Schizosaccharomyces pombe: one gene and its partners. The gene in region 2 interacts genetically with the main gene of each other region. Each region holds a gene or a part of one and is shown on either strand. Other genes may lie near its edges.

Region 1 (4,469 bases), 1.8 Mb from region 2:
CACTCTAAGAGGTTGCCAAAAAGCACCAACAAGGTTTTTTCCCAAGGGAGTGTCAATACCTGTCTTCCCTCCAATAGAAGAATCAACCATAGCAAGCAAGGTGGTAGGCATCTGAATAAAACGAATGCCACGCATGAATGAAGCAGCTACATATCCCACTAAATCACCAATAACTCCACCTCCCATAGCAATAAGGATGGTATCTCGTGTACAGGATTGTGTGAGCAACCAATCTTCAATTTCCGCTTTCATAGCTCGGCATTTTGAAGATTCTCCAGGAGGAATCACATAAGTAAGCAACCTTGCTTCAGCCTTGGCATCTTTAATAGACTTATTAAAAGTACTTTCAATCTTTTCCAGGTAAAGAGGTGCAATATTTGAATCTGTAATTACGACGTATGTCGAAGACTTGAAGTTTTCCAGAATTTCAGTGCATATATATTGATGTATACCAAATCCAACTCTCACAGTATCCTTTCCGAGTATAGGAACTGTAATTATATTAGATTCGTTTGACATCTTGCAGAAGATTATAGTATTGCAAGATATATGCTACTTGCTAAGGACAAGCTTCTATTTGTAGATTGCGACAAGATACGACCGTAAATCTCGTTAATGCTAAAATTCATGAGAGCTCAAATCACAAACTAAATCAATCCTAAATACTTATTTAATTGCTAAACTTGCAATTTTAGAAATATTTAAACTTAAAATCGTAAGAGATGCAATATACTTACTGTTCGAGAAATCAGTATGATGCTCGGCATTTTAATTAATATTTTCCCAAATTTGCGGACAGCAGTGAAGGCAGCTAAAGAAAAATATTAGCCTACCGCTAATTTATTTGAAAAAAACAAAAAGAATAATAGTACGACACAACTTATGAAGGAGAAGAAGCGAGTGAATTTACATAGTCTAAGAAAAATAAGTCGATAAGATTTATAATGGCAAACCTCAAATATCACTAAGCAACCAACAAAAGATAGTAACTCAAAAAGATTAAATGACAATCGGTAAATACAAATCACGCTTAGTTTATTATATTACTTTTAAGGGGAAAATTAGTCGGAGTCGGAATAAAATTCATCAGATTCAGGATCAAGCATGGAGAGATCAAGCTGGTAACGCATAACAGCACCAATACCACCAAAACCTTTGACAAATTGCATACCTTCCTGAGATCGGTCAGAAACAAACTCTAAGTTAGCACCGTAATCCTTGTAATGTTCAGCAAGCCATTCAGAGAGTAGCATAGAGCTTACTAACTCCATTTCAGCACCTGTATCCTTATCTAGCAAGAACGAATTGGTAGAATCCTTTTCCTCTTGCTCCTTAGTCATATATGTAATAACAGGATTACCTTCTGAGTTCTTAAACTCATAACGGATCATATCAAGGTCTGCAAAACACAGAAGTGTTTCTACGGCACCTTCCTGAAGTGCATTCATAGTATCAACGACACCAAAACAGTATTTACCCGAATCTAAGCTAATTTCGTCGAAAAAGCGTTGTATCAATTTTTTCTCTTGGACATATTTCACATTTGACAAAGTATCAGCAGCCAATTCTATAGCCTGGTTAAAACCAGCGTCGCCACCGTACGAGACGTCTACAGTCTTGATAATACGAGATTGAAGACGTTGGTCAAACAAGTCACTTTGACCGAGTTCCGTTTTAAAATCAGCAGAACCAGCAAGAACAATACCCGCAACATTAGGTTTATCATCAGTAATAAAATGCTGCACAGCACCTTCAGCAACCTTTCGAACATAGTTGTGACGTTTTTCATCACGTAAACGGGCAAAACGAAGAGCAGATTGACCACCACGTCCATGTTTTTTAGGTAAATCGACAGTGAATCGTTGTAAAACCTCACGAGCACTACCAGAAACAACACCATATAAAGTTTGATGACCGTCCATAACAATAAATCCGAAGCGTTGATCACTTTCAAGCAATTCTGCTAAAGCTTCAGTATGAAATTTATTATCACAAAGATATTGCGAAGTATTAATTGGTTTGAAGGGTTCGAAATCAATGTTGAGCTTGCGTGTCTTATTGCCCTCCATTATAACTTCACCGCAGTAAATGACCAATCCATTATCAGGGACTTTATTGTACAATTTCAAACGCTCACGAGTTGAAGTAATTGCAGATAGAACTGATAAACGATTCACACGAGATTTAATGTTAGAGGCAGTGCCATACTCTTCGGCAAGCATATTGCTGTATCTGGATATTTGTTCGCCAGGTGGGATAATTAACGTAATCATTGAGGTGCCGTTTCCATGACAGTTAATCAATTGTTTTACCAAACGGCGAATTTTCCAAATTTCGATAGCTTTCTCAGCAGTCTCACTCATTTTGTAAAATTTGTTTTAAAGTTTTTTATACCCAAGGTTCTTGTACACACTATGAAAAATCCGAAAACCGAAATCCTATTTTTTTATAACTTGAACAGACAGTTCAAGCAACGAATTACCTCTTGTACTTCGTTTTTGGTAGTTGGTAGGTTTTTGCCTACTGAAAGGTGACGGCCTATGAAAACTTTTAGCACGATACATTTCGTTAACTTAGCTATCGTATTTGTATTTATTACAGTATTTCAATAATATACAAAAAAACAAATAATTTTTTGGAGGTAAAATATTAGTAAAATTGAATCACTAAACAATTCGACTCCAAGCGGCTGACAAACATTCAACCAATAGTTTAGAAGCTCAGTAAAAGGAAACGAAGACATAAGAACATTAGACGTCCTTTTTCCATCGGAGAGCATTTTAAAGAAAGAAATGATATTTAGAAAAAAAAAGCAAATGATTTAGGAAATGAAATAATAGAGGTCTAAAAATTGTAATTGAATGTCAGTGTTTTATCTGTCAAAATATTTCAAACCTAATAGTCACGTTGTAATAAACGACACGATCTCGTAATCAGGTTTTTATCGAACACGAGTAAAAGCGGTATATTTTGAGTAACGGTAATAAAAACTTTTTAAGTAAAAAGAAACAAAGTCTATTCTCTTATGCAGGCTTGAAAAAATTTTGCAAATTAAACATAAATAATAACCAACACAAAGGGTTTAAGACTTTGACAGACTATCGCGCATGCTTTGAGAACTAGCACTAACGGGATTATGAGTCATAGGGAGGATGGTAGCAGGATCTTTCTGACGTTGCTGTTGAGATTTAGCAACGGCATAAACAACACCAGAAATAAAGCCCAACAAAATAGCGGTAACAGATCCAAAAGTGATGGGTGCATCAAAAAACACTAAACCGGCAATAGCCAAGGGAAGTTTGTTAAGAGCACCAACCATACTATAAGTTGTCGAAGAAGTTACGCGTACACACCAGGCAGAGGTGTAAGAAATTCCTACTGAAGAAACACCACTAATAGCCATAGCCATTAGAACACCAAATTTGGCATCAGGAGGGAAATTTTGAGCAATGTTTTCAGCACTCCAGTCCTCAGTAAAGAGCGTGCAGATAACCAAAACAGGGATACTGAGTAAGTTGTTATAAAACATGGTATCAAAGTCACGAAAGTTGGTAAGTTTGATACGCTTACGCATCGCGAGAACAAAAGCAGCATTTGTGAGACAGTTAAGCACCATCCATAAATAGCCAGAATTTAAGGTTTGGGAAGCAAATGAGGAAGACTGGATGTCTGCCCAAGCAGCGACAATAGAAGAAAGAACCATTAATCCAAAAGAAAAAAGAGTTAAAGCAGTAACATGCCCGCCAAACCAAAGGACCTCACCATAAGCAATGATAATAATAGTTAAATTCTTAAATATAGTGTACACTGGAACAGAAAGAAATTGCAAAGCCTTCGATGCAGTATAAATCATAGCTACCAATAAAAAGGAAATAGGAAACCAAAATTTGGCCTCACGAAAATCAAAATCCCTATAATTAATAACTTTCAAACGTTTTAGTATCCCAATGGCTGCTACACAAACAGTGGATTGTACAGTCAAAAGGAGAAAGTTCATATTGTAACCAGGACTCGAAAGAACATATTTATTGGTCAAAGTCATCAATATGGAAGCCATGCAATATGACACCACTGGAAGAATCGGTGATTTACTAATTCGGTTTAGCATATGATTATCCATTGTTGTTGGAATTTCGTGATGGCTCCGGTGAAGTTGTCTACATACCTACCCACCATGTTTGGAAGGAGCGCGTACGTAACAGGCCTTACCCTTCCTCAAAGACACAGTCCATTGGTAACAAGTTTTGGCATACAGATTGATTAACATCTCTGTTGATCAAACTTAAATAACTTGGTCTTCTCATATAAAATATAATTATTTAAATACTTTTTTGTTCATCTATAAAAGAGTATTTTCGCCTGCAAGCCACACTTAATGTTACACCAATTCATATGTTTTACAACAAAGTATGAGCATTTACTGTAAAAGCTGTGTTTGAATTGTTGTGAAATTCCTTAGTGTATGAAGA
Region 2 (4,321 bases):
CCCAATGTGGACTTCGTAATTTCTTCAATTGAAAGTCATCAGAACGAAAACAGACATGATTATTTACTGAAATTATTTTATTTTTCACACATTATATTAACCAATTTAGTATTGAGACAAAAATCATTCCATGTAGTAATGGGGTTTGCGACGATTCTTTATTCTATTTGGGTAGTACTTTCATCTTTTGTGATTCTTTCAGCATACCAGCTGGAAGTTCGCAAATTTTTGGTTAAGTTGTTGTCCAAGATAGTCATCGGTGCATCTGAATCAAATGTTGCTTCTTTTTTTGCTTTTGTTTCAGAGAAAAGCTTAGAAGCGGCAAGCGTTAAGTTCGTTGCTACTATAATTGCTGAGCGTATGGGTGCCCAATTTTCTTCTTTCTACGACAAAATATTTTTTGTTGATATGCTTGGCCTTGGATCCTTGTTTGCTTTGGCCGCTGTTAATGTACTTGCCGCCCGAAAACTCGAGTCTGAATTACCCGCATCTCTTGAACCAAGCATCGGTAACCGCGATCAGCAAAAAAATAGCTCACTTGCAAAATGCTTCAGTAGGTTATTTATCAATGATTTACATGGGACAACCGTCAAACGCTACCCATACATCTCTTATCTTCCTAACTGGCTTTTAGCCAAAAATAATGCTGAGCGTCTCGTTTACAAAAGTCACCTTTTATTAAACGCTTATTCACCTCCAAAATCTGCATCCGCATCTTCTGTTATTGTTTGGGTTTGTGGTGCTAAGAAATCCGAAAGCATTATCATTCCCTACCTTTCATCTTTAGGCTTCTTCGTAGTGGTTCCCAATTACGCCCAGCCTCCAAAATTTCCCCTTTCCGATGCCGTCGAATTTGTATCTTTGTGTGTAGATTGGATAGTAGAGAATGCCATCTATTATGATGCAGATCCAGAACGTATTTTTTTCCTAGGTGAAGATACTGGTGCGTCTGTCGCTCTTGAGAGTCTAAAACACATTCGACCAAACTCTGTAAAAGGCATTTTTGCTCTGTGTCCCCGTTCTATTCAAAATTTAGTGTGGACAAATCAATCCACTATTCCTATGATGACATTACATGCTGGAGATGTCAATCCGGTTAGCGACAGTAATGATAGAGAATCATCCGAAAAGGCATCATTGATTAAAAATTTTGTTGTACCTGGTGCTGTCCCTTATTATTATGAATTTACTTCTCCAAGAACAATCTCAACGGTATGTCAATATAGTAAATTCCTTATTTCGTTAATCGTTTACTAACCCGCCAGGCTACGTTCATCGCACGTTGGTTCTTCTTAGTAGAAGATAATAAGAAAACAATTTAATTTTACGAGTGCATTCCTTCTCTAGATGGGTAGTTTTAAGTTTGTTTTAATATTTTACAAGCATATGCTTTTTTGTTTGCTAGATGTTTCATCTTTTTTGACAAGCATCCCAAAACCGGATAGATATCTGTTTTAAATGAATTAAATATTATATTTGGTTATATGCTGTTTATTGTGTCTTCTTACTTAAAATTTCGATTGTGATATGAAATAACAAAAATAATGACAGCAAACAAGTTTTTAAATTGTAAAAATTTTATAAGTATTGTTCAATATCATTAGGCGTAACAGTATAAAAACAGATGATACTAAATGGAGTATTTAGGCAGCTGTCAATTATCTATATTCTATCAACTACTAATCTTAGAGCAGTAGTAAATTTAATGATTATATGGATTTTCCAGGTCTGATTAAAAAAATAAAAGAAGATCTAGAAAACCGCTTAGTTGAGAAATCTAAACAACCAGCATTCACTGATTACTGGTGAGTAGATGCTAAAAGTTAACGCATATGTAAAGAGTGGCTACTGACAATTTAGGTTAATAAACAAAACTATCAGCTTGTTAAAGGAGTATCCCTCAGGGTTTAGCTATCCCATTTTAATTAACGAGATTGAATTAGCGGTAAGGAATCTACTTACTCTACAAGTCGATAAAATCTGACATGCATGAACGTAGTGCTCGGAGAGAAATAAATTGGACAATGGTAACGAGAAAGTTTACTTTTTTTTTTGGTATAAAGAGATATTGACCTCCTTTTTTGTAAACAGTTTTTTCTTCTTTGGAATGGTTAACGAAATCAGATGCAGTTATTTATTTGGAAGACCAGTTTCATTTTCATTGCTATGATTATTATTATACCCCAATACCGTCTTTGAAGCTGAAAGATAGTGAGGAGAATACGTGCGAAATGATTTTGCATTCCAGTTTTTATTTACTCTTCCATGAACCATTTAACATTTTGAAAGGTGTAAGGTTTTTGAATATCATCTCCTTTATAACAGTGATTATCTAAGACCTTTATTTAGTCAACTTTACGCTTTTCTCAGTCACGCATCCATCAAAAATGGTATTTACGAAAGCAAATACGTTTCCTTCCTACAACTAGCTTTGTTCCAGTATTGCAATATGCTGCATCAAAAAGTTTTGTGAAATCAATGGTTGAATCAACTGAACATGAATTCTTTCAAATACGTGATATTACTATAAGCAAAAGTGATCAAGGTGTGAAACGAATTACTGTGGAATTGGGTCGCATCATTTCTTTAGACAAAAAAGGTGCTTTTCTTATAGACAACAATACCAATTTTATACATTTCTCAGGGACTTACCATGATTTCCCTAAGCTGCTAGACAAGCAACAATACCTACTTATTCCATTTTGGAGTACCGTTTGGGAAGGCAGTACCAACTGGCAGGATGGAATGATCGGTATTTTGGTAATTTTAAGTGAGAATGACTTTGAAGAAAAAAAATGCGACTCCTGGCAAGTGGGACGCTTAGCTGCCGTTAATTCAAATTTTCTTGTACTGGATAACAATGGTCAGCGAGTGAAGATATTGTATTCCAATTCTCAAAAGCATTATTTCAAGGATACCTATATTGGAGATTTGCTATGCATTAGCCCAATCAATCATTCTTCTGACAATCTAAGTGATTATTCATGCGTTAGTGACACAACGACTGAAATTCGTAAGAAATGGTAAATTTATGGGATTGAATATTGATTTATTTTAGTGTCAAACTTGGAGAACCCGTTATCCTCAAACTTTTTGAGAAATGATTTATGCAAGTTCTCCAACCTTTTTTCAGGTGTTTCTGGGCATTTAAAAATTCAACCGTTAACTTTGGTGATCACCGGATTTGTAGCGAGTAAGGGTTGCTTGTTTTACGAAATACTAATTGAATGATAGATTTAACCCGCCAATCTGATTTAAATACCAGTTTGGTCTTGCCGGAAGTAAATCCATTAACAGCAAAAATGGAGGTAATTGACTGTTTAAGGAATAGTTTTTGGGCAGCTTTACGACCGAATTGTGTTTCATATTTTGCGTCTATGATTTCCGGCTTTAAAGAATTATTCCAAAAAGAAATGGAATTTCCAATATACCTGGATTTGAAGTCGTACAAGCTCGGATTCCATTGGTGTGATATTTATGTGGACTCAGAACACAACTGCCATATACAAAAAATAAACTCTCTGCCGTGTGAATAGCCATCGCCATTATCTGAATAATTATGTCTAACAAATAAAAATCAAACATTGAATGTTTGAATGAAAAGATGTACAGTTCATTCAATCATTCTCCGTTTTAAAAGCTTAGTTTGCTTAATTTACTAATATACTACAGTTTAAAAGGCTTATAAATAATGCATTTTTCCAAAAAAGAAATTCAAAGTTAGAATATTAATTGGCTCACCCTTGTGAGAAACAAAGCAATACGATACAATGAACAGCTAAATTAACAAAATTATAAAAGAAAATGAATCCGAATAACGAAATTTGTATGCCAAATTAGAAAGCATACCAATAACGTTCAAAGTAATGATATAAATGAAAGTGATGAAAAATGATTTTAAGAAAAATGAGGTTAGTAGAAAAATGAAGACGTTCAAATTTCTTCCTCCTGAGAGGCAGCTTCGATAAGGTTTCTATTGGAAATATCAGAAAGATTGGAAGGAAGGAATCTACTGGACGGTATCATCGCCGGGATAGCGTTGGCAGCATAATCGTGGATATTTTGAGAATGTCTAGCTCTATAAAGACCAAAGGCGTAATTGGATGTTAGTAGACTTCCAAATACAAGAATGAGGGAAAAAACCATAGTTTTATAAGAAATATGACTTATAAAAGCGTCTATAATCTCAGCAAAAACTAACGCTGCCAACTTTGTAGAACCGACATTATTAGAACTTTCCATTTTACATTGTTTCAGTTTTTGACAAACTTCAAAAATAGCAGGTCCTGGAGAGTCACAGTTAATAGAAAGATATTCCCGT
Region 3 (5,118 bases), on a different chromosome or scaffold from region 2:
GCGTTCATTTGAGCAGCTAACTGAGTGTCAATTTCAGGGCCCCCATATGAAGCAATATTGCCAGCAACATTTTGCCTATAAGTCTCAGGATTACCGTAATTTCCAAACTGCCCGGGATAGGCCATTTTGTTTTTGTGTCAAGTTTACTTGGTGGATGTACGAATATAAGTAGGTAAGGGTAGGGCAAAATATATACCAAATAAAAAGACTGATTTGAAAGAGTAACACGATATAAATAATTTTAGATAATAAAGTGTGAAATTTGAGATTCTTCAGGAACATCAGATATGAACTGGATGCATTTCCGATTGTCAAAAGTTGACTTCCCTTTAAATTTGGAAATGGACAATTTAGCTCTATATGTAAAAAACCTCAGCTGTTTCAAAAAATGTCATTTCACATGGGCAGTGGCTCTTTAATGAAACAGCTAATAATATTGATACAGCGGAGAAAGTATCTATACACCTAGTATCTATAGCGAATAGTCAATAATGATATTCAAAACAAGTGTTATTAACCTAAATAATTTAGATTGACATTTTGAAAACTAAGAAAGAATGAATGTAAAGATAGGTATAAAAATGTAAAGCAAATTTTGATTGCAAATTATTAAAGGATAGATATATGCAACAGATGCAGTAACAAAAGGAGGGTCAAAGAACGGGGAAATCAAAATCACTGGACTCCATAAACTGATTGTGTCAAAAAATTAAATAAGATATTTAGCAAATGTTCTTGACAAACTTCGTTTAACACTCATTTTTTGGGCATTCACAAAGGAATCAATAATCACTTGAATGGCTTTGTCTATATGTGAAGGGCGCACAAACTCACTGAGCTGCATTTTTGCAAATGCTTCACTTAAACGGATAGCAGACTCCAGATGACGCACAGTAATAGGATAACTTCCAGTAGCCAGTGACTCGCGTCTCATATCGCTATAAAGTCTCGAAATCTTTTCTTCATCCATTTGCTGTAATCGAGGAAAAACTTTTTCACGAGCGAAATGGATATATTTACGAAGAAGATCTTGGGGAATGGGTTTGGCATCAATACCAGTCTCAGTAGGGACTTTCTTCAAGACATCCATATTCGGATCAAATGCAGGATGAGATCGAATATGACTTGATACAACAAAATTAGCTAGCTGTTCATCAATTTCAGGATTAACCGTGTCTTTGACGACCTGAAGGATGTCAAAACGAGATAAAATAGGTTCGGTCAGCTCAACATTTTGATTAAAAGGAATTGTAGTGTTATAACGTCCACCGATGGGATTAGCGGCAGCAATAATAGTGCACCTCGCCTGCAAGGTAGTCACAATACCCGCCTTAGAAATAGAAATACTTTGTTGTTCCATGGCTTCGTGAATAGAAGTACGATCCTGATCATTCATTTTATCGAACTCGTCAATCAAACAAACACCTTTATCTGCTAAAACCAAAGCACCCCCTTCCAAAGTCCATTCATTCGTAATGGGGTCTTTACGGACGGATGCAGTTAGACCAACAGCACTGGCACCCTGACCTGTGGCGAAGACAGCCCTATGTGCCGTTTTTTCAACATACTTAAGAAATTGAGATTTGGCGGTTCCTGGATCTCCCAACAATAAAACATTGATATCACCTCTAATTTTATGCTTACCGTTAATATTTTTGGGGACACCACCGAATAAAGCAGCAGCAATAGCAGTTTTGATAGAGCGATGTCCATAAATAGAAGGCGCCATCGATGCAATAATTCTGTTGTGAATATCAGGCGACTTTGCTAATGCCCGAATTTCCCTTTCCTCATCATCAGTAAGCCGACTTAAAGAGAAATCATCATCAGTATTACCACTGCCGTCAAGTTGCGATATGTGATTTGCTTCTATAATTGTAGCGAAGACAGGAAACCCGTTTTTGGTATTCAGACTAGCATCGAAGTTATTGCGGTATATGCCAGTAACATCAATCTCTTCGCCTGGTTTGGCAACATCAACCAAGTCCGCTAAAAGAATAACTTCACGGTGTCGAGGCAGTCTACCTGAGGGGACGGTGCCAGGTGATTCTTGTAAAGTGATCCTTTGATAGTTATTATATACAGTCCGTTCAGAGTTGATTACAAACGGACCACGGCTGGAACAGTTGTGACAGAAAGAAATTTTTACTTCAACGCTAGAGTCTTGAAAAAATGGACCCAAAGTAGCACCACATTTGGTACATGTAAACCGAATGTATTTTAATTGTGGAAAAAGCCCAGTGCGCCTAGTTACGACACCAGATACCCGTACAAGGCAATTAAGATGGGATTGTCGTAGATCGCGTAAAGTAAAACAAGTAGGAAGATTAGTGATACGAACATGAATATCAGAGTGTATTCTTTCATAGTCTGGATAATGCAAAAGAGTGGCTTCCAAAGCAACACGATCAAATATGCGAAAAATAGGTGCAGGCGCATTGGCCAAGAAATAAGCCAAAATGGGTTTAGATTCACCAAGATGGGCATAATTAACCATCAACGACTCAGCATTAACCTCACCCAATGTGCGAATACGGTTACCGTATACAGAGGTGCCATTTTCATCTGTATATTCAAGAAGGAAATTTTTGAATTCTCGAGCAATTGTACGCCGAACAGGATCAAGAGTAACCCATTCGGCAATACTATCGGCCTTTACGTCGGCAATTGATTCAAGAGGAAGTTCACCAGATTCGTCCAATGCGCCAACATTAGGTGAATATTCGTCGTAAATTCGATGTCGATGACGAGTGAAGCCTGTGCCAAGATTGGAGTCCAAATCATCATCTTCATCTTGTAAAAATGCAGCAGGTTTTGTTCTACCTGCAGCAGCATCGAGCTCAATATCACGTCGTCTCAACCTGGCATCAACAGCTCTTCGGGCCCCGATATCTAATTCTTCAAGATCGTTATCGTCATCTAGTTCTTCAATGTCATAACGATCTAGCTCCAAATTTTGTTGATAATCACTATACAGTTAGAAAAAAGTACCTTATTTGACGCGAAATGTGAAACTACTCTTTTGAAAATCAAGATTTGTTCTGTCAATATAACCGCAACCTAGGAATCCAATAAATATATTTATTTACAAGAAGGAGAAGAAATAGTATGTAATTTATATATTGATGGCAACACTTAGTATACACAACATTGACAAGACACGTCTCAAGCATAGCTATAAAACTTACCGTTCCATTCCTTCTCCGAACAAATCTTCACCTTCTTCATCCTCTACATCTAAAGCTTCTCCGTCCAGATCCTCAATATCCTCCTCCACGAGAGCTTCTGCAGCTTCATCAGAGAATTCTGGAGGAGGTGAAGAAGGAGGTAAAGAAAGAGGTGTAGCACCGAGAGAAGAATTTTCTGATTCAAAAGGTAAACTTTCAGAATCGCGGCGACCCCTTTTCCGAAAAGAATCCATCTTTGGACTCAAATACTTTAAAGATGTTGTTTCTAACTATTTTAATGCATTGAATAGCTAGAGTATTGCAGGATGAAAGAATAAGAAATGCTACAGTATATTGTTAAATTGTATTGGAAAATGTAGTGATACCTGTAAATGAAATAGAGGAGCGTAATGAGTTAGTGTTTTGAATTATTCAAAAGACATTCTTCGCAATTGTTTACGCCGTCTATTTGCCAACGTTTAGTTGCATTTAATAACTTATGGAGGAAACGGCTCATGAATTAACGGTTAAGCAATATGTTGAACAGCAAAGGGAGCTTGAAAGGGAGGCACGAGAAGTTTTGCCTTACAGCTTTGACACGTGCACTTATTCGATGGGCTATTTGAAGCAACCTTTATACGCTTGTTTGACATGTCAAAAAGCTAGCGGAAGCTTAAATGCTGTTTGCTATAGCTGCAGTATTAGCTGCCATGCTGACCATGATCTTGTGGACCTATTCAATAAACGACATTTTCGATGTGATTGTGGCACCACAAGAACCCACTCCATACCTTGTAATTTACGGAAATCCGTTGATGAATGTGGCTCAGAAAATGATTATAATCATAATTTCGAAGGGCGATTTTGCATATGTGATACGGTGTATAATCCAGAGACAGAGGAAGGAACTATGTTTCAATGCATCCTTTGCGAAGATTGGTTTCACGAAAAGTGTCTGCAGAAAACTAATAAAGGAATTGCAATCCCAGATGCTGAGACTTTTGAATGGTTGGTGTGTTCAGAATGTTCAGAAAAATACCGCGATCATCTTTTAAACCAGAAGCATGAAAGCATAGCTGGTACAGAACGAGCGCCTCTATTTCTTTCAGAAAACTTTAGGGAAAATTTGTGCCCTTGTGAATCTTGCATCAGTTTGCGTAATTTGGAGATGCCAATGTTGGTGGCAGAAGAACCTATTTACGAACCTCCTGAGGATTCTGAGGATGGAATCAGTGAGATGAATGAGGATCCCAGTGAATCTGGAGAAATGATTGAGCAAGTCATATCTAGCACAATGAATGATGTCCTTCGTATTTTGGACAGACTTCCTCGTGTACAAGCTAACGAAAGCGTTTATGCGTATAATCGCTTAAAATCTGAGCTAACGGACTTCCTCACTCCATTTGCTCGTGAAAATAGGGTTGTCACCAAGGAAGATATATCAAATTTTTTCTTGGAGCGATCTCGAATCAGTAAAAATTTACGGTAGCGTTAATAACTTTTTTGAATTCCCTTCTTTTTTGGCGTATAATTTAACGTCAAAACATGTAGGTTATACTTAATCTGGTGATGCTTTTTGTGAAACGCTGTTTATACTGGTGAAACCAGAGATATTTTCTATGTGCTTATGGTTAAACGTAATCATTTCTCTATCAAAAATGGTTTAATTGATTTTCTTAACAGAGATGGTTAATTTGAGAGGCTTACTGGGGCTTGTTGGTATACATGATTTTAATGATGATGACAAATTTGTATGTATATTTGAACAATAATTAATATATTGAACTTCTAGCTTTCTTGTCTCTCCTATTTTAACTGCACTCATTAAAATTTTTAAACCTATCTATAGTTTTGGTGGTTGCGTCTTTTATCTTTTATTTTTGATTGAGAAAGCTAAAGAGAAACCCTGTCTGGGTATTTTTTTTTTGTTATATCTCATAATGACTTTCAT
Region 4 (5,439 bases), on a different chromosome or scaffold from region 2:
GCTCATACTCAGGAAATCCTTTAAGAGATACGATACCTGATTTTCCTTGAATTAGATTTCGCCAATTGGTTTTAACTCCATTGCCTAGAGGGGTTACGGCCCCCAGTCCAGTTATTACCACACGTTTCATTTTTCTAGCATTACTTTGTGGAAATAATAATAGATTATCTGTCGTTTCTTTCGACAGGGTATTTGAGGCGAGAATTTAACAGTATATAAATCGATCAAAACTGTGTTTATGTTATCGATTTCAAAGTTCTGATTGAAAGTGGATTAAATGTTCAGTTTTTATGCATGGTCAAGGTGTGTTGGCTATTAAAGTTAAGAGACTGATTGAAGCGAGGTGCACCCTGTTCGTTTAATTACAGTTTATGCGATAGTTAAAGATTACTAGAAGGTGGCCTTGTAACAATTACTTCCTGTACATAATTAAACATCCTCAAGGAATACCGCTGTTATAGAAATGAATTAGCACCATAGGAAAAATAATAATAAATGTAAAGCTCAAATTTAATAAACAAAGAAGAAATTAAATATATGAATATATTATTAAAATTATTTCTATGAATAAAATTACCTAATTAGTCTAAAATCACTGTACACTTCAACCATATATATTCAGGCCGTTATGAATAAATCTTTAGTACATGGTAAACTCGTAAAAATTGATTTTTACTTATTTTTGACTCCCCTCATTTGAACTGGAGCCTTGTTTTCATTACGTATCGGCAAACCATTAACAGAAGCCAGTTGTTTATAGAATTGCACGACTTTGGGGTGTGCCATCACCTTCGCAGGCGAAAAATTAAGAACCTGGAGACCTTCTTGAGTAGTTGCACGAGATAAGGCAACATACGCTTGCCCTTTCTCAAAAACACGACCCAAATCAACCTTGACTCGATCCAAAGTCTGTCCTTGTGCCTTGTGAATAGATATCGCATAAGCCAAAATAAGAGGAATTTGGCTTCTAGAAGCTTGAACCTCACCATTGGGAAGCTCAATATTCCAAGTTTCCCGTTGTACAACAATTGTACGTTCACCTCCATTTGGAAGTTTAAAACGAACTAATGGCCATTTTATTGCCGTGGATGAAGCTTTACGCATTGCAATCAATTTATATTTCTTTTGCTTAACGTCTGGAAGATCAAAGGGTGAAATGTCTAAACTATCATATTCAAAAGCATTTCTTCCCTGCATTTCAGCATCCTTTTTTTCCATTTGATAGGTCTCATCATCTATGAAACCTATAACTTTTCCAAGAGATCCATTTACTAACTGATCATCTATATTCTTTATAAGCATTACCTGAGCATTTACCTTTAACACTAAAGTGGCAGGAGCCATGCACCCTTGCAGTAATCGGTCACGAAATTCTTTATCTCGAACAGTACCCGAGTCAATAGCGGTAAACGTGACAGGATTTTGATTAATTTGTTGCATACGCATATCGTTCGAACGCTCAACCTCATAACGTGTGGGAAATAACTCTGTCGGAAGAAGCCCATCTTCATATTCAATCGTTCTATTAAGAACTTTGAATTTTCTAACCGATTCATCAGATAATTTCCCGAGGCGCAATTCATTAAGCATTTTGACAAATTCCTCATCCTTTTGCCGAAAAACGTGAGTCAATCCTATTGTAAAATCAAGTGCGCTTTTCCATGTCTGAGATTCGAAACAGAATTTCGATTCTTTCCCATTTTCTGGAACAGGAGGTAACTGAAAAAAATCCCCAGTTAAAACCAACTGAATTCCACCAAATGGCTTACTATCTTTGCGAATAACACGCGCAACCTCTTCTAACTTGTCCATTAATTCAGCATCGACCATAGAAACTATAGTTATTAGTAAATATAAACTCACTTAAATTGTTTACCTTCATCAATGATCAAAACTCTGGTGCGCAACCAACGATTAACACACTTCTTATTTTTCTTTATTTTAGATACCAGGAGGTCGACAGATTCACGAGCAAGGCCTACCCCAGCAAAGGAGTGAAGTGTTACACCGCCGATATTACAGGCTGCCAAGCCTGTAGAAGCGGTAACAGCAACTCTGTCAGATTGCTTTCTATATTTAGATTTTAGGACTTCAATTATTTTTCGGAGGAGAACAGATTTACCTGTTCCAGCAGAGCCCGTAAAAAATATACTGTGTTGTTGCTCAACAACCATGTCTAAAATTCTTTTTTGCTCATCGGAAAGGAATATGCTAGGGACAGATTTTTTACGAGAATCACTTGTCTTAAACAAAGAAGATCCTATTGGCGATTTGGAAGCAGAGTTTAAAGGAACAGAAAATTTTTTAGATATCTGTGGGGTAGACTTAGATTTACTCATGCGTTTTTTAGCCAGACTATCCAAAGAACTGCTTCGTCCATTGCTAAGCTTATTTGAAGAATCATTAGATACAGTGTGTTGACTGATATCAGCTGAAGTGCTGGTTCTTTTAGGATCAGGATCTCCATATCTGTAAGGATCCACTGCCCAAGGAAGGGTTCGTGAGCGTTTTATTCCCTGCCTCGTAATATTACTAGATATTACGCTACTTGCGCCTTTTTCAGAAGTATGGTCTTCGTAAATTTTTGAGAGATGATTTTTTGACCGCTTTTCGCTCGAGAGCATTGATTTAGTTAACTTAGTATGCTCGATAGGGGATGAAGACCAAGGAATTGGTTTTTGGTCAATATCGTTTTCTAAAAGTAGATCATCATCAAAGTCATTTTCATCAATATAGACGCCATTCGCTATTTCAGTGGAGTATTTACTACCCAAGCCAGAATTTTCAAAAACGGGCAGTGAGGGTTTCGAAACATCGAATCCCACGGTGTTATCAAGTTGTTTTAAGCTAGCAGCAGAACGACCTCTTTTGGCTGGTAGGGTTATTGGAGATGACGGAAGGTTATCAGACTGGCTAGAAAATGTTTGCTGATCATCATTAGTAGAGGAGCGAGAGGAATTGAAGTTTAAAGAAGCGGACGAAAAACCGCCCAATTTGTTCAAGGAGGGTTGATGCGATGACTCGTTTTGTGTATGAAGCAAGCTGCTTTTCTGCTGAGCTCTTTGAAACATGACGGGGATACGTTTCCTAAAAGAGTGACTAAATTTATAAAGAGATTGGCACGAAAACATTCATCGAATTACTTCAAGAAACTGGAAGGCGATCTGTACGCAGGTTGTCTAAAAAAAGAAACCGTAAACGAAATAGATCACCCAAAATTGTTTGATCGAAGAAAAGCAACAAGAAAACAATTTCAGTTTGAATTTAAACAACAATCTGCTACTGACTTATGCGACCTCGACCTAACACCTATGATAAGCGGTCCAAGCACATAAGAGTTGGAAGTATCCCTTTGTTGATTGTATTAATTGGGATACCGGTTGAAGAAATTTGTCAATGTCGAGGAAACGGCTGTTGACAAGGAGGTACAGAAATGAAAGCGCTATACTAATAAAAATCAAATTTACGGTGGTAGTGGACGAGACAAATGAAAGCGCGTATGTCAAGACGCGTCACGTCTGTCACCACCAGGCACGTGTTTTTTACTTCACAACTTTTGCACAAATTTTTTATCATTCAATACTGTAATTATCATAAAGTCCTTTTTACATTAGTCGTTCCTTAAGTATAACTTGCATAATTTGCTTTCGGGGCCTATGCAATGCAATGCAAATAAATTGACTTTTGTTATAATATGTTACAATCGAAGCAAATATTAACCCGTGTTTACAGTAAGTTATTAATTTTATAATATTTGATAAAACGCGTCTACGATACCATATCCTCGGAAGTCTGTAAATAATAAATGCTATCAATTAATAAATTATATACTGTATGTAGACTAAAACAATCAATACTAAGTCGAAAATTCAATAATGAGCGACAAACGATTTAAATTCGTTGACCAACCAACTTTGGTAAAGATACACAAAAACATGCATCTTTAGGTAAGTATCGTGTTCTTCAGCAGTCCGTGTCAAACATCCCGTTTTAAAGAGACTTTAGAAGTGGAAAATAACATAAAAATACAAGGTTACGGTTATCACAAATACCTAGAGTCATAGGAGGGATAACTTCAACAGTAAGGATTGCCAATCGATTTGTACTACCGACAAATTTAAAAGGAAGAACAATTAGATTAATAAAATTTCAAAAAAAATGAAAATAGCAAACAAAGAAACTAGAAAGAATGAGAAAAAATTAATAGTAAACATTTATAACTCAATATAAAAAAAACAGTATATTGGATTCAGCAGAAGTACTAAGGATAAGAAAGATTCAAAAAATGCAAATATCACAGAGCACATGTACTTTTGTAATTTCTAGTTAACCTTCTTTGCATTCTTAGCCTTTTGCTTTTTCTCGTAAGGAGTTTCAGACTTGGGAGGCATGTAAGTTCCCAAAACGTGGTCCCAGAAGGTAAAGAAGGGCTGGCTAAAGTTCTTTTGGAAACCGTAAGGTTGGTGATGAAGGTCATGGTAACGAGCATTATTGGCAAAGAACATTTGAAGAGGGTCATAAGGGAATACGTATCCACAGTGATCATCAACAGTCTTCAAGGTAGAAAGGGTGAAGAAAATAACAGCTTGTTGAGGAGAAAGACCGGCGGCGAGATAAGCAACACCAGCGCCAAAAGTGTCCAAAATCAAACCTTCAAAGGGATGGTTGTAAAGGGCACCCATAGCATAGGGAACTTGGAGACGATGGTGATGGGCATGAATCATGTTGTAGAGCTTCTTGTTGTAGTGGAGGTAACGGTGCCAGAAGTATTGCCAGCTGTCAATGATGAAGAAAGCAAAGAAGTATTGGAATGCGGGAACAATAAAGTTATAAGCCAATTTAGGGGCAAAGGGAGCAACTTGTAACAAAGCAGGCAAATTCTTGCTGAAGAAAGCCTCGTAGCGTAACATTTGCTTAGCCTCGTCAATGGGTTCAGGATAGCCCTCGAACATGGCCAATGCGATTCCAACGACGACTTCGCAAAGTTGTTGGAAAAGCACGGCTTTAACAACAGCCATCTGAGGAACACGGTTGCGTCTGGCTATCTCCTCCGGAGGATGAATGCGATACTTCTCAAAGACAGGTAATTCAATGTAATGCAAAAATCCGAAGAAAGCAGAAGCAACCCAGTAAATGATGACAGGAGAAACCAAGGAAACGGTCACTGGGTTCCAGGTAGTTAACATTTCAACGGTGGTAACCATAGTGGCAAGAAAAATTCAAATTCGAAAATATAGCAAAAAGTTAAGTGAAAGTGTAAGAAAAGAGAGAAGCTGATTAGTTATATATATGCGAATATATATCTATGTGTCTAGACTGAAGAAAGAAAACAGTTGGTACAATATATACAAATCACAAACGGCAAGAAATGTGATTTATACAAACAATTGAAAAACGATGAAACCAATAAGGAACCTTTTAAAACAACAAGTAATAAAA

Evidence for each region.
Region 1: of cdc24 (region 2) and erf1, a mutation in one rescues a mutant of the other (synthetic rescue), as found in Schizosaccharomyces pombe (one study listed by BioGRID).
Region 3: mutations in cdc24 (region 2) and mcm2 impair growth when combined (synthetic growth defect), as found in Schizosaccharomyces pombe (one study listed by BioGRID).
Region 4: of cdc24 (region 2) and pfh1, a mutation in one rescues a mutant of the other (synthetic rescue), as found in Schizosaccharomyces pombe (3 studies listed by BioGRID).

Annotation. Positions count from the first base shown.
Region 1 is NC_003424.3:4,689,821-4,694,289, reverse strand, and holds erf1 (cytoplasmic translation release factor class I eRF1), read right to left. Parts: upstream 2,511-4,469; 5' UTR 2,364-2,510; coding exon 1,062-2,363; 3' UTR 552-1,061; downstream 1-551. Other genes in the region: multifunctional aromatic polypeptide Aro1, read right to left, coding at 1-519; GDP-mannose transporter Vrg4, read right to left, coding at 3,083-4,120. UniProt on the Schizosaccharomyces pombe protein: Component of the eRF1-eRF3-GTP ternary complex, a ternary complex that mediates translation termination in response to the termination codons. The eRF1-eRF3-GTP complex binds to a stop codon in the ribosomal A-site.
Region 2 is NC_003424.3:2,863,180-2,867,500, reverse strand, and holds cdc24 (DNA replication protein Cdc24), read left to right. Parts: upstream 1-1,674; 5' UTR 1,675-1,713; coding exon 1,714-1,805; exon of another isoform or gene 1,806-1,860; coding exon 1,861-1,945; exon of another isoform or gene 1,946-1,999; coding exon 2,000-2,027; exon of another isoform or gene 2,028-2,091; coding exon 2,092-2,291; intron 2,292-2,349; coding exon 2,350-3,013; intron 3,014-3,058; coding exon 3,059-3,193; intron 3,194-3,234; coding exon 3,235-3,536; 3' UTR 3,537-3,771; downstream 3,772-4,321. Other genes in the region: SPOM_SPAC8F11.08C (esterase/lipase), read left to right, coding at 139-1,212, 1,266-1,322; brr6 (nuclear envelope protein Brr6/Brl1), read right to left, coding at 3,934-4,321. UniProt on the Schizosaccharomyces pombe protein: Has a role in the progression of DNA replication and in the maintenance of genomic integrity. Acts during S phase, after initiation, where it is essential for completion.
Region 3 is NC_003423.3:1,190,688-1,195,805, forward strand, and holds mcm2 (MCM complex subunit Mcm2), read right to left. Parts: upstream 3,456-5,118; 5' UTR 3,422-3,455; coding exon 3,189-3,421; exon of another isoform or gene 2,970-3,188; coding exon 710-2,969; 3' UTR 521-709; downstream 1-520. Other genes in the region: COPII-coated vesicle-associated protein Sfb3, read right to left, coding at 1-125; ubiquitin protein ligase E3 component mlo2, read left to right, coding at 3,667-4,656. UniProt on the Schizosaccharomyces pombe protein: Acts as a component of the mcm2-7 complex (mcm complex) which is the putative replicative helicase essential for 'once per cell cycle' DNA replication initiation and elongation in eukaryotic cells.
Region 4 is NC_003423.3:3,567,058-3,572,496, forward strand, and holds pfh1 (DNA repair and recombination protein), read right to left. Parts: upstream 3,420-5,439; 5' UTR 3,132-3,419; coding exon 1,877-3,131; exon of another isoform or gene 1,836-1,876; coding exon 673-1,835; 3' UTR 536-672; downstream 1-535. Other genes in the region: cem1 (3-oxoacyl-[acyl-carrier-protein]-synthase condensing enzyme), read right to left, coding at 1-130; sphingosine hydroxylase/sphingolipid delta-4 desaturase Sur2, read right to left, coding at 4,323-5,204.